Linked DNA regions of Mus musculus: all the other regions are reported to be linked to region 3. Evidence: microRNA targets listed by miRTarBase, many of them from high-throughput screens and not tested one by one. Region 3 holds a microRNA gene; each other region holds the end of a gene's coding sequence.

Evidence for each region. The annotated mature microRNA mmu-miR-320-3p reads AAAAGCUGGGUUGAGAGGGCGA and lies in region 3 at 1,563-1,584, opposite strand. An mRNA with a match to its seed (bases 2 to 7 or 8) in the 3' UTR can be bound and repressed. Matches are read on the target gene's strand: a 7mer-m8 pairs with bases 2 to 8, a 7mer-A1 pairs with bases 2 to 7 and ends in A, and an 8mer does both.
Region 1: the mRNA of Igf2bp3 is a reported target of mmu-miR-320-3p. Seed matches in the 3' UTR shown: 8mer at 425-432.
Region 2: miRTarBase lists Coro1a as a target of mmu-miR-320-3p. The part of its 3' UTR that is shown has no 7-base or 8-base seed match.

Annotation. Positions count from the first base shown.
Region 1 is chr6:49,083,418-49,087,574 of GRCm38, reverse strand. Igf2bp3 (insulin-like growth factor 2 mRNA binding protein 3) reads left to right here. Exons shown (of 15, transcript NM_023670.3): 15 at 135-2,357. The coding sequence ends at 233. It overlaps Malsu1 (mitochondrial assembly of ribosomal large subunit 1), which reads right to left. Exons shown (of 4, transcript NM_029353.1): 4 at 2,858-3,072. The coding sequence ends at 2,885. Among named protein-coding and RNA genes, the nearest start is that of Malsu1, 12 kb to the right of the region's middle.
Region 2 is chr7:126,696,500-126,700,656 of GRCm38, forward strand. Coro1a (coronin, actin binding protein 1A) reads right to left here. Exons shown (of 11, transcript NM_009898.3): 9 at 4,085-4,142; 10 at 3,758-3,973; 11 at 3,275-3,486. The coding sequence ends at 3,382. It overlaps Bola2 (bolA-like 2 (E. coli)), which reads left to right. Exons shown (of 3, transcript NM_175103.3): 3 at 56-194. The coding sequence ends at 155. Among named protein-coding and RNA genes, the nearest start is that of Bola2, 2.6 kb to the left of the region's middle.
Region 3 is chr14:70,440,984-70,445,140 of GRCm38, reverse strand. It overlaps Mir320 (microRNA 320), which reads right to left and starts at 1,631; the gene lies at 1,550-1,631. Polr3d (polymerase (RNA) III (DNA directed) polypeptide D) reads left to right here and starts at 1,670. Exons shown (of 9, transcript NM_025945.3): 1 at 1,670-1,808; 2 at 2,021-2,190; 3 at 2,746-2,789; 4 at 3,686-3,837; 5 at 3,980-4,104. The coding sequence starts at 2,026.

The DNA.
Region 1 (4,157 bases), not on the chromosome of region 3:
TGCTTGGCACATCTAGTTTTCCTTTGAGCCAGCACACTGTTAAGTATTGGGCACAAGGACTTCAACTTGATGTTGTTGCAGTAACTTAGTAACTTTGTACTGTGCAGATTCTATGAAGTTCTGTCCTTTTGTAGGTTGCCCAGAGGAAAATTCAGGAAATTCTGACTCAGGTAAAGCAGCACCAGCAGCAGAAAGCTCTGCAGAGTGGACCACCTCAGTCAAGGCGGAAGTAAAGGCTCAGGAGACAGCCACCACAGAGGCAGATGCCAAACCAAAGACAGATTTGCTTAACCAACAGACGGGTGCTGACCCATCCAGAACCACGTGCACGAGTTTTTACCTAGCTGGTTGTTTCCGAGGACCAGGCACTCGATCCTGTCTCTGTGAGAATGTATACTTTATGCTCTCTGAAATATATGACACCCAGCTTTAAAAAAAAAAAAAAAAAAAAAAAAAAAGTGGGGGTAAGGAAAGAGAACTCTGCACTTCCCTTGTGATATCAAAGTATAACAAACGTGCTAATTTTTCTTAATATCCCTCTATAATGCCAGAAATTGGCATAAATGGTACATTCACTAAATTTATCAAATAAATTTAAAACTAGATTGTTCCTAAGTCCAATTGTTGAAATTGGATCAAAGTAGAATTGTCAGAGGAACACAACATTAAGCCATTAGAATAGAAGAGCTGTTGTCTCCTGTTTCTCTAACACTAACATGGATAACCTAAGGGAAGTGCCAGCCGCTGTTGGCAGGGTATTAAACGTGCATTTTTACTCAACTACCTCAGGTATTCAGTAATACAGTTAAAAGCAAAATTATTCCTTTTTTGAAAATTTTATATACTTTATAAAAACTCCAACCGTTTTTTTAAAAAAAATAAAATTTAACAGTTATCAGCTGATAGGCAAGTCATTGAAAAAGTAATTTTACGTCTGGCTGGTGAGAGTAAAGTTGGAAAAATAATTTTGCATTTTTTGAGCCTTTGAAAGTTGGAAAGTCCACTAACTGTTCAAAGATAAGGAGCAGTGCCTATTCTCAAGAGCAGCCATGCCATGTACTCCTTTGTTCCTATCTGGGAAGGTTGTTGACGGTACTGACCAAGCAGGCAGGGGCTGGGACGGCCAGTGTACAGGACAGCTAGGGTAAAGGACAGCTAGTGTACAGGGCTCCAGGAGACTTGGGGATTTGTGTTTAGCTATGTGTGGGAATTTGCAAATGCTTTGTGCTTTGACTGTCACCACGAAAAGGAAGAAATTCATGTCAGTGAAGAAATGCAGAATTTAAACAAAATCAGCTTGAGTTTGTTTTACCAGATGCTCAGCTTGCTAACACACTTGAGATCAGACCATACTCTGAGCAGACATGGAAAGGATTGCTTTGTGAAGACCAGGGGGAGTCAGGTGGTATGACAGGGCCGAAGGGCAACAAAATCTCCATTTCCTTGTGCCTGGCACTGTCTCGAGCCTAAGCTATTTTAAAGATGTTTTAAACAGTGGAAGAATTAAGTCCACCAAAAGTCTTCCATGAAATGTAGCAGAGTTTCTGTCTGCCCTGCATTACCTGCCAGCGAGTCAAGGTAGGGGATCCAGCAAACGGTTTTGGGAATTCAGACTGTGGAAACATCGGACTTCCCTTTGCCCTTCCTCAACTTAGTGGCAAAGCCCTGTATGGATACTTGTAGGTGCGGGTGATCCTCAAGGCCATGCTGCTTTCTGAGTTGTTCTTGTTGCTTTGTTCATAATGTGGTTACAGTCATATTACACTGACCCTGAGGGTATTATGTAACCCTTCAGAAAACCACTTTGCCTCATTGTGTTTCAGGATTAACTTCTACATGCCTTTAAGTTTTTCTGAGTATCAGCATATCATTTAGACATTGTGAAAATGAATTCCTAAACATTTTCATAAAACCGGTTAATTTTGTAGTTTTAGCCAAAAAGTGCCCCCTTTTTACAACTGAATTCATCTAGCATTTTCATATGGTGGATTTAAACTGCTTAAAAAAGAAAATGTGACCGGCTCTCCTGCTTGGGTCTCAGGGGAGATATGCTTAAGGCCAGAGCTCTTCCTCAGTATTTGATTTTTCCAGTGTTTGTTTTTTAAAAAACTGACAGGTGCTACATTTCTATCTGTTGGTTTCAATTCTGCCATATTTCATGTCTAGCCTTTAGAGTGGCCAATCATGTTTTACTTTCATTTAAGCACTGGTAGTCTGGAGTACCTGGTACTGAGTAACTCTATAATTGTGTTTTGTGTTCACCATATACAGATCATTTCTCATCTGTAGTGTGCCCCAAATGCAGCTTCACTTTCCAGGTACCCTGATGCAGAATAAAGTTTTCATCATAAACCACAGCTTCTGTAGTATGTTTTCAGATGAGTGAGTGTTCTTGAGTTATTTTCTATGATAATCTTACAGTAAACAGTAACCTACCAGCACGTTATTTTTTCAGGCCCTGATTCAAGAATGTGAACCTTGGTTGTCCTATTTAACACAAACTAAGATCTACAGATTTACATGACTTTCCATAATGTTCTAAATATAAATATTGTACTTGTGCCACGTATTTATAGAAATGCTATCCTTATACCCTAGCACCCAGCCACTTACTATTGCCCTCAGACATATTTGGAAAAAAACTGGGGAAGGGAGGCAGGCTGATAGTCTAAATAGAGAACTTGAGTCAGTCACGGGGTCAGTGCTACCTGAGGCATCATGCTAGAATTTCAAGAATAAAGATAGGATGCTGAAAAACAGGGACTGAATTACTGGTTCTTGGTCTGTGAGCTACCAGCAAGAGTGTTCACGAGGTAGACAGGAACTTGTAGTGACCAAGCAGATGGCTCAGTCATATCAAAGGGAAGAATGGCATTAACTTTGTTTATTTACATTTGAACTCCACTGGAGTCAGGGATGAAGTGTCATCTTCCAGTCCAAGAATGAAGTCTTCAGGTAACGTCTCAGCTGCTATCTGAGCTAACTGGTCATCAAAAGAACGTAGAGTCCATAGTTTCTCTAATTCATAGGTTTCTCTGGTTTCTGGAAGCATCAAATGGATCACCATACTCCCTATTAGGAACATATAAAAATTACAATGAAGAAAATCCATTGCTTATATTTTTATCCTCACCTTCAACTTTTTAGAAGGGCAAATGGTAGAGCCCTTCCTGCAAAGCGATGCAGTGGCTTTGTCAGAACACCTGCCACTTAGCATGAAAATGAGGTCATCAAGTAGCATGGATCAATGATGGCTGTTAACTTTTTTTTTGTTTTTGTTTTGTTTTGTTTTTTCAGACAGGGTTTCTCTGTATAGCCCTGGCTATCCTGGAACTCAGTTTGTAGACCAGGCTGGCCTCGAACTCAGAAATCCGCCTGCCTCTGCCTCCCAAGTGCTGGGATTAAAGGCATGCGCCACCATGCCCGGCAATGGCGGTTAACTTTAATCCATGGGGATGCACGATGGGTCTGTCAGGTTCCTCTGGTCATACCCTGTGACATCTGTCTCCCAGGTTTCACTTTTCTGTACATCTTGTGAGCAAAGTTTTCAAAGTCAATAGTCCTACCAGAAAGGGCTTGCCTCCAAGACAGCTAAGTCCACAGCAACGCTTTACTGCCCACAGACATCTTTGTTGACTGGAGAGAGGAAAGTGACACTGCTAATCATCAGCATCCTGTTCTGCACTACACTAGATGCTCCCCAAGCACACAGCTTGTGACACGAATGTGACAACGCTCAGAAACCCTGCTTTACAGCCTTGCTGTCTCACAGCACAGCAAAAAAAGTGGGCCTGCTTGCTCCTACTTATGTGCCAGCTAGCCTGTGCTCTACCTTATGGGCTCTGAGGCTCAGAGAGCCAGCAGAGTTTACAGTACTGGTCACTACCATTGGCTGAAGAAGCACTATGTTTTTCCAAAATGGTCTTGTCTTCATGAAACTGGGATGACAACTTGTGAGCTGCTAAGTTTCATGCCAACTGAAAGGAGAAGTCCTCAACTGAGAAAATTGGGCTATAAGGAAGATTGGGCTATAAGGAAGCCAATAGGGCATTTTCTTAATTAGTGCCTAGTGGTCCTAGGCTATAAGATAGCAGGCTGAGCAAGCCATGAAGCAGCTCTTGCCTTCAGGTGCCTTCTTGTCCTAACTCCTTTCAATG
Region 2 (4,157 bases), not on the chromosome of region 3:
GAGCCCATCACTCCAGCTGAGGCCGCTCATTTCCCATTCCCTTCTCTCGCTCCAGGCTGGTGAACGAGTGCTTAGCCGAAGAGCTCCCGCACATCCATGCCTTTGAGCAGAAAACTCTGACCCCAGAGCAGTGGACCCGACAGCGGCGTGAATGAGGGGCCTAGGCCTGAACAGTCATTAAAATTTAAACCTGGCCCAGCTGGTCTCAGTGTGCTGTTTGAAGACCCTGAGGCCAAGTCACGGATGTGGCTTTTCCCTGACTCTCCTCCAGCCATTGTTTCAGCAAATTTGGATGGATTTCTTTCCTGAGCCCTCTAGGTCCCAACTTAAACAATGAAGATTCGGTTCTTAAGTCTGCCAAGGCTTTACTGTCAAACCCTGTGGTCTGTACTGTCACCAAGGTCAGACCTCAAAAAGCAGGGTGTTCCTGCTCTGTCAGCCCTCAGAAACCCTGAGCATTCTCCCAGGTTCCCTCACTCCAGGTTCCTGGAAGTAGCAGAGACAAGATACAGAATTTCTGTCAGTCTCTTCACAGGCGTACACACTCAGGAGGAGGGATGGACACAATGCACGCTGATGTTCAGTTCAGCTCTCCCACAGCTAGTTCCTCTCCACTGTGGATCTTTGCTTTGGTTTTGTCTTTCAGACAGGTCCCCATATGTTTCCCAGGCTGCTTGTAAATTCATGAGCTTAGGGGATCCTTTGGCCTTAGTCTTCCATGCAGCTATGGCTACAGACGTCCAGCACAATGCCCAGTCCTTCCCATATTGTCAAGGCTTGTCTCAGCCACCCAGTTTCCTGTCTCCATCTTCTCTTGATTTCATCACAGAGGTTGGTCAAGCTGGGATCATAGTAGTCAGTGTTCATGTCTTCCCTGTCCCTGGCATCATTTCCTGAACATTTTCAGTTCCTCTGGAGAACTAGTGATTCAGTCTCCTCACAAGGACCCCAAAAGAGCACCCCTTCACTCCCCAGTGATGGCCCTCCTCCAGTTTATAGGCAGAAGGGGCTTGCCCAGGATCACATGCCCTGTCGGGGTGAGACACAAGCTGGCAGGCAGAATTTTCCATTGTCTATACCCAGAAAACTCCATGGTGTGCTGAAGAGAGGAGGGCCGGGGTGGGGTCCTGGGTGTTCTCTGCATTGTATCAATTCAGCCATGGTACACTATAGAACCGCTCTGTCACCTCTGCCCTAGAGTCTCCGACCCTCTAGAACAGTTCTGTGCCATCCCAGCTCTACCCTCTGGAACCGCTCTGTGTGACCCCAGCTCTAGAGTCTCCCACCAATCAGGCACAGCAACTGCTGTCATATTGAGAATATCTTTAAAAGCATGCACTCATATAGGTAGTCGACAGTGCTAGCCTAGCATCCCTGAAGCCCCAGGTTCAGTCCTCATTACCATATAAACCAGGCATTGTGACGCACATGTAGAATAAAAGGTAGAGGCAGAAGTATCAGGTGTTCAGGACCACGGGGATCCGTGTGAAACGGTCACAGTGCACAAAAACAAACACCTTACTCCTATAGATAGGGTTTAAGAGATCTGTTCCTTCCTGTCTTCCTCAGAGGCCAGGTCCTCTGAAACCTACAGGCAATTCTCTGAGGCAGGAGGATGCTGAGAATGAAGTGGGGTTGGGGGGTCTTAGACCATGGTTTCGGAACTGCCAACCACTACCCTGTTCCATGTTAGCTCAGGGTCCGACTGTTTCCTTATTCGTTTGTCTTTATGGGATGTTGTCTGTTTTGTCAAGTTTTTTTTCCCTTAGTTTTTGTTGTTTGTTTGTTTTTTGAGACAGGACTCTCTTTGTAGCCCTGGCTGCCCTAGAACTCAGAGATCTGCCTGCCTCTGCTTCCAGAGTGCTGAGACTAAAGGCTTTGTGGGTGTTGGGATTAGAACTCTGGTCCTCTGGAACGACAGCAAGTTCTCTGAACTGCTGAGCTGCATCTCCAGCCCAAGTTTTGTTTTTACCTGTGTGTATGTGTGAGTGTATTTGCTTGCAGGTATATACATGCCTGTTTATGTGAGTGGAGGCCAGAAGAGGCCGTCAGGTATCTGTCTTCTGTCATTTTTTTTTTTTTTCCTTTTTCTTTTTTGGGTTTCTCGAGACAGGGTTTCTCTGTGTAGCCCTGGCTGTCCTGGAACTCACTCTGTAGGCCAGGCTAGTCTCGAACTCAGAAATCCGCCTGCCTCTGCCTCCCAAGTGCTGAGATTAAAGGCGTGTGCCACCATTGCTCAGCCTTCTGTCATTTTCAACTTATTCCTTTGAAGTAGTCTCTCTCTCTCTCTCTCTCTCTCTCTCTCTCTCTCTCTCTCTCTCTCTCTGAACCCATGTTTGCTTCTTCTTTAGGCTGGAAGCCAACCAGCCCCGAAATCCTGTTTTATCCACATCAGAGCTGGGTTGCAGGTATTTGCAAGGTTTCCCAGCTTGTAATGTGGATGCTGGGATCTGAGTTCTAATCCCTATGACTGCAAGGGAAACACTAAACCACTAAGTCAACCCTCCAACCTCCTGTTTTTGGCTTTATTACAGTTGTTTTTGAAACAGGGTCTCTATTCTAGGCTGGCTTTGAACTTCTGACCCTCCTGCCATCGCCTCCCCAGTGCTGAGATTATAGGTGTGGGCACCACACTTGGTTTATGCAGGGTAAGGAATCAAACCTAGGGCCTGGTGCTGCCAGCCAGGCCACACCCAAGCCCCATCTGGTTTGGTTTGGTTTGAGGCAGTATCTCACTTTATAGCCACTGTCAACTGAGTTTCTGGCTTGAACCCCGCAGCAACCCTCGGTCTCCCAAGTGTTCAGATTACAGACGTGAGTGGCGTCTGCTCTGCAGTCTTGTTATTTTTGTTCTTTGAGTCAGTAGCTCAAGGAGTTATCAGTGTGGTTGTTTGCAGGCTGTGCTGGAGTTGACCAGGAAATGCTAATTTGGGGTCAAGGCTAGAGACATAGCTAGAATGACAGCCTACATAGCATATTAACGGCTTTGGTCCAGCACTATCAAAGAAAACACGAAAAGTTTGGGGGTGACTGTGGACATTTTGGGGGCCCTAAGATAGGGATTTGGATGACTCAGACCTGCTCTGAGGTGGAGCTAGGGAACAGAGAACAGTGTCCAGCTCCATCCATCCCTGCAGGTATCATACCGGGCAAGGCCCTTTCCTCTGCTATAGTGTGAATTTGGAAGTGACCCACAGCCCGAATGGGGGCAGCGCATTCAGAGAACTCTCAAGGGGAAGCCTCGGGGCTCACCAGTTCACCGGAGTCTGAGAGGTACCAGAAAATAAAGCCGTTTTATTATTTTCGTCTTATTCACCATATGGCCTGAGGGTGGGGTGGGAGCAGAGGGGATGGCTGGCCCCAGATGAGGGCTCTGGGGTTCTACTTGGCCTGAACAGTCTCCTCCAGCCTGTCCAGGCGCTCTTGTAGCTTTTGCACTATGGCGTTCAGATTCCTCACGTCCTCCTCCAGCCTTGACACGGTATCCTAGGAGACCCAGCCCTGTATCAGGCCCAGCTTCTCTGTTGCTTCCTCTGACATCTGCTAGCCTTTCCAAGAGCTGCAAGGCTTGGGCCCTTCTTTCCCAGCAGATGCTACCCGGATTACTGCATGCCTATAAGCTTGCAACCTGGTTTCTAAGGCCTCCAGGTCACCCACTCCTTGCCCTTGGCTTGGGCATCTCTAACACTGGACTCTCTCCCCATGAGACATTGAGCACATCCATGCAGGCTTTGCCCCAGCCCCCCGCCCGCCTTACCGAGCTGGGCGTGCCGCTGGGCTCTGGTGTAGCTCTTCTGCGAGCGCTGTCCAGGCCCCTGTTGACCCTCAGCTCCCTGCTCTTTGGGGGCACGTAGCCATCCTTGAGGGAAATGAGGAGGGGGCCAGCATCCCGACCACCCAGCCATTCCTCAGCTGTGAGGGCAGGGTCGGGTCCTGCAGTGGGCGGATACAGGTCCTCCTGGAACAGGTCCGACTGTGGGCAAGGCCAAGGCTGGTCACAAGAGTGTTTATGTTTCTGTCCCACCCTACAAACCCCCGTGGTCATTTCCTGCCCCAGCACCCTGGGAGGAGCATAAGAGCATACCTTTCTAGGCACTGTCATGGCAATGGGCTCACACTTCCGCTCATGAAGCTTATAGAATCTGTGGAAACAGGAA
Region 3 (4,157 bases):
AAAGGGCGGCTTCAGGGATTCCTGTCATGCTGAAATGTCTTGTACCATGACTGCAAAAATGTCAATATTCTGGTTTTGATATAAGTGCTAGATCTTACTATTGTGGAAAACAAAGTAAACAGAATTTGGGCTCTGCTGAATCATTATCATCATCATCACCATCAGTGTCTCACTTTGTAGTCCAAGCTGGTGTAAACTCAGAGACCTGCCTGCTTTTTCCTCCCAAGTACTGGGTTTACAGGCATGCACCAACATGCCTGGCTTGTCACATAATTTCCCCCCCCCCCTTTTTTTTTTTTAAATAACTGCATATGTATGACATCAAAATGAAGTTTACTTATTTACTATTTTCATTTTATTTATTTATTTTGGTTTTTCGAGACAGGGTTTCTCTGTGTAGCCCTGGCTGTCCTGGAACTCATTCTGTAGACCAGGCTGGCCTCAAACTCAGAAATCCACCTGCCTCTGCCTCCCAAGTGCTGGGATTAAAGGCGTGTGCCACCACTGCCCAGCAAAGTATACTTTTAATATGTACATTTTCTGAAACTCTTTCCTAGGGATATAATCTACAAGAAAGCAAAAAAGTTGGATGTATCAAATGTACACTAGCTATTTCTAACAACATACCTATTTAAAGTAAGTGCCCCATTAAGGAAACAAGTTACGATATATACATATAAATATGCACATATATATCCTCCCATTGGTCATTTGTCTCCGACAAAGAATACACTATTGTGTGGCACAATATTACAGTACATCAAAAATATTTTAATGCTAGCAGCCTATGGAATTCCAGCAGAAATAGGTTCCTTCCCTAGAATTACATAACCTTTTTATTTGTATTGGGGTCGCTGTAGTGTAACATTAAATGACTCCCCCCCCCCCAGATTAGATTGCAACCACACATTACAATAAAAAAATTTTTCAGCTGGGATTGGTGGTGTACATCTGTAATCCCTACAACTGAGGGATGAGTGAAGAGACTGGACTGCTGCAAATTCGAGGCCAGCCTGGTCTACTTAAGTTCCAGACTAGATAGGGTTACAGAGCAGGGTTGTCTTAAAAATACCCACACCTCCCAACCAAAAATCAAAAAACAAAAACCCTTCCAGTTGAAGAGCAAACTTCAGTTCCAAAGGCTTCCCAGATTTGACTAAGCAGTCATGGGCCCAGGTAGATGAGAAGAGCTATTGGCTGCTCTGTCCAAACTGCGTTAAGGGTGACACCCCAAGACCCCAGGGACCGGCAAGGGAAGGCGCACGCGAGCAAAGGGTCGAGCCCGAAGGTGCAATGACCACGCCAAGGTCAACGCAGGGAGGCTGCAGCCAGCCACGGCCTGAGGGCTCTAAGCTCCCTATGTCCGGAGCCCCATCCCGAGCGGCGACCCCACTGCTCCCAGAGGCTGCGCAGTGTGGACTCCACATACAGCAGGTAGGCGACCTTGGAGCCCCTCCACCTCCGACCCCGAGGACCGCACCTCTACTCCCTGCCAGGGGCCGAGACACGCCCCCACGAGTCACACCCCGGCACAGCTTACAGTCCACCTCCCACATCCTTTTTCGCCCTCTCAACCCAGCTTTTCCCGACTCCGGGAAGAACCGGGAAGAGAAGGCGGAGGGCGGCGAGGCACCGTCGGATAAATACTATGGTCAGGTCACGCCCCCTTGATGTCACTTCCGCCCCAGGGTAAGATGGCAGCGCCCGGTCCTTGCCACGCAGACTTCCGCCTTGCCCGGAGACCCGCGGCCCGTGGTTGCTCTAGTCGGAGGTGAGGTTGTGATACTCGGCGCAGAGCCTCCACGCAGGTGCGTCACGAAGTCCCCAGGGAAAGGGCAGGTGACGGAGTCCAAAGCTAGGGGTGGGGCGCTCCGGGAAGCCTCGCCACGTGGGACGGGGAGGAGCTGAGCTGCAGCGAGAGCGACGCACGGGCGGGGGGCGGGAGGCCACGTGGGTGCGGTTCCGCCCAGGGTCCTCGCGTCCAGCCCTTGGAGTCACTTTGTTGCCTACTTTCTTCTAGGAACCATGTCGGAAGGAAACGCGGCGGGCGAGCCCAGCAATCCTGGAGGGCCGCGACCCCTTCTCTCTGGGGGCCGGGGGCTGATCGGCCGGCGGCCCGCACCCCCGCTTACGCCCGGTCGCCTTCCCTCCATCCGCTCCCGGGACCTCACCCTTGGCGGAGTCAAGAAGGTACCTGCGAGCGCGTTTGTATAGAAACCCACCCAGGCCGTAGGGAGGCGACTCGTGATGTTCATTCATGTGCTGCCTTGGGCCCCTGGTGGGATGTCAGCCTTTAGAGAGACCTGCAAACCTAGGTGCTGGTACAGGACACTGACAGGGTCTCCTAGGCAATTAAAAGACAGTGAATCTAGTTGATTCAAGACATCCGGAAGTGCTTATTATGTTCTGGGCTCCTTACAAAATCCCTTGAAAGCCAGACAAAATTGCTTTACTTGCAATTTCGAGTGTTCATAACTCTGTGGATGTCAGTATTGAAAACTAATAATCTAGTAAGTGATGAATCTTAGGCATGCCGGTAACTGCTCTTTGTCCCCTCCTGTTATGTGTGTAACAGTAGATGTAACTGTACCGAGTAGCTCTGAAAAGGAATAGCAAACACAGGATAAAGCATTTTAGCTTTGCCTTGGGGGCTACTGGTGATAGTCTACCTGTCTCTCTAAGCCATCCCAGGACTGTTGGTCAGTTGAGCACATCGAAAATACAGTACTGTGTTTTACTTTTCAGAAAACCTTCACCCCAAATATCATCAGTCGGAAGATCAAAGAAGAGTAAGTAATGAATGAACAGTACTCACCCCGGTTAGCTCTGAATTTGGGGACGTAATTAGGTTGTGTGGCCTAGAGATTTTAACTTACGCTATTAGCTTATTCACCAGTGGTTCTCATCCTTCAATCCTGGGTTATATAGGGGCATGTTTCTTTTTGAGACAGTGCCTCGCTACATGGCCTTGCATGTCCTGGAACTCACTTATGTAGGTTGCTGGCCTAGAACTCCCAGAGATGTGCTTGCCTCTCAGACCTGTGTCCTGAGTGCTGGGATTAAGATGTACACCTCCACGCTTAGCTCCAGGGCACTTTGCATTAGAGGGTCTTTTTGGTTTTTGTTTTGTTTTGTTTTTTTTCTGTAATAAATAGCTGAGATAATTGGCTTACAGAGAGGGACATTTTGTTTTGGAGATTTTAGTCCACGATCAATCAGGTGGTTCTTGCTTTTGGGTTCATGGTATGGCAATGAATGCAGTCGGAATACCCAAGGGAAGAAAGAAATTAAGGAGAGGAAAGGGCTGAGTTTCTATTCTCCTTTAGGAGCTGGGTAACCACCCAGTAGGCTCCATCTCTTATAGTTTCAGCTACCTTCTGTTTCTGCCGAGGTGGGGCTGAACTCTCCAACTTTGCCTTAAGGTCCTCTGCTCTCCAGCCTTTCTACTTTTAGAGGGTTAAAAAACCAACAAACAAAACAAAAGGCCCACATTTTGACAAGACGGTAAAGTAGAAGGAAATTAAAGGCCGTGCTTTATGGGAGATGTCAAAGGTATAGCGAAGGGTTGGGTGCCGATTCTCGTAGTGTACTTACTGGCTCACAAGCTCTGCTCAGCGGGCTGAAAGGGGCAAGCGAGGAGGCTCCATTTCCTGAGGCAGACCCTTTTGTCTGTCCTCATTCCCAGGCCAAAAGAAGAAGTGACTATGAAGAAGGAAAAGCGTGAACGGGACAGGGACCGCCAGCGTGAGGGTCACGGACGGGGACGTGGCCGCCCGGAAGTGATCCAGTCCCATTCTATCTTCGAGCAGGGTCCGGCAGAAATGATGAAAAAAAAAGGTACCAGGAAGGGACCTGGTCTGGGTTGCAGTTCAGACTGCCTGAGAAGGCAGAGCGTGGGAGTCTCCATTCCAAGTTGGGCTCTCCTCGCTGTGGGCAGTCTTCCTTATTGAACCCTAGTGGACAGCATGATTTCCCGCAGGGAACTGGGATAAGACCGTGGACATGTCCGACATGGGACCTTCTCATATCATCAACATCAAAAAAGAGAAGAGAGAAACAGACGAAGAGACCAAGCAGATCCTGCGCATGCTGGAGAAGGATGACGTAGGTGCCAGGAGCCTGGGGGACAGGTTCTTTTGTAGCTGCTAAAGAGGGTT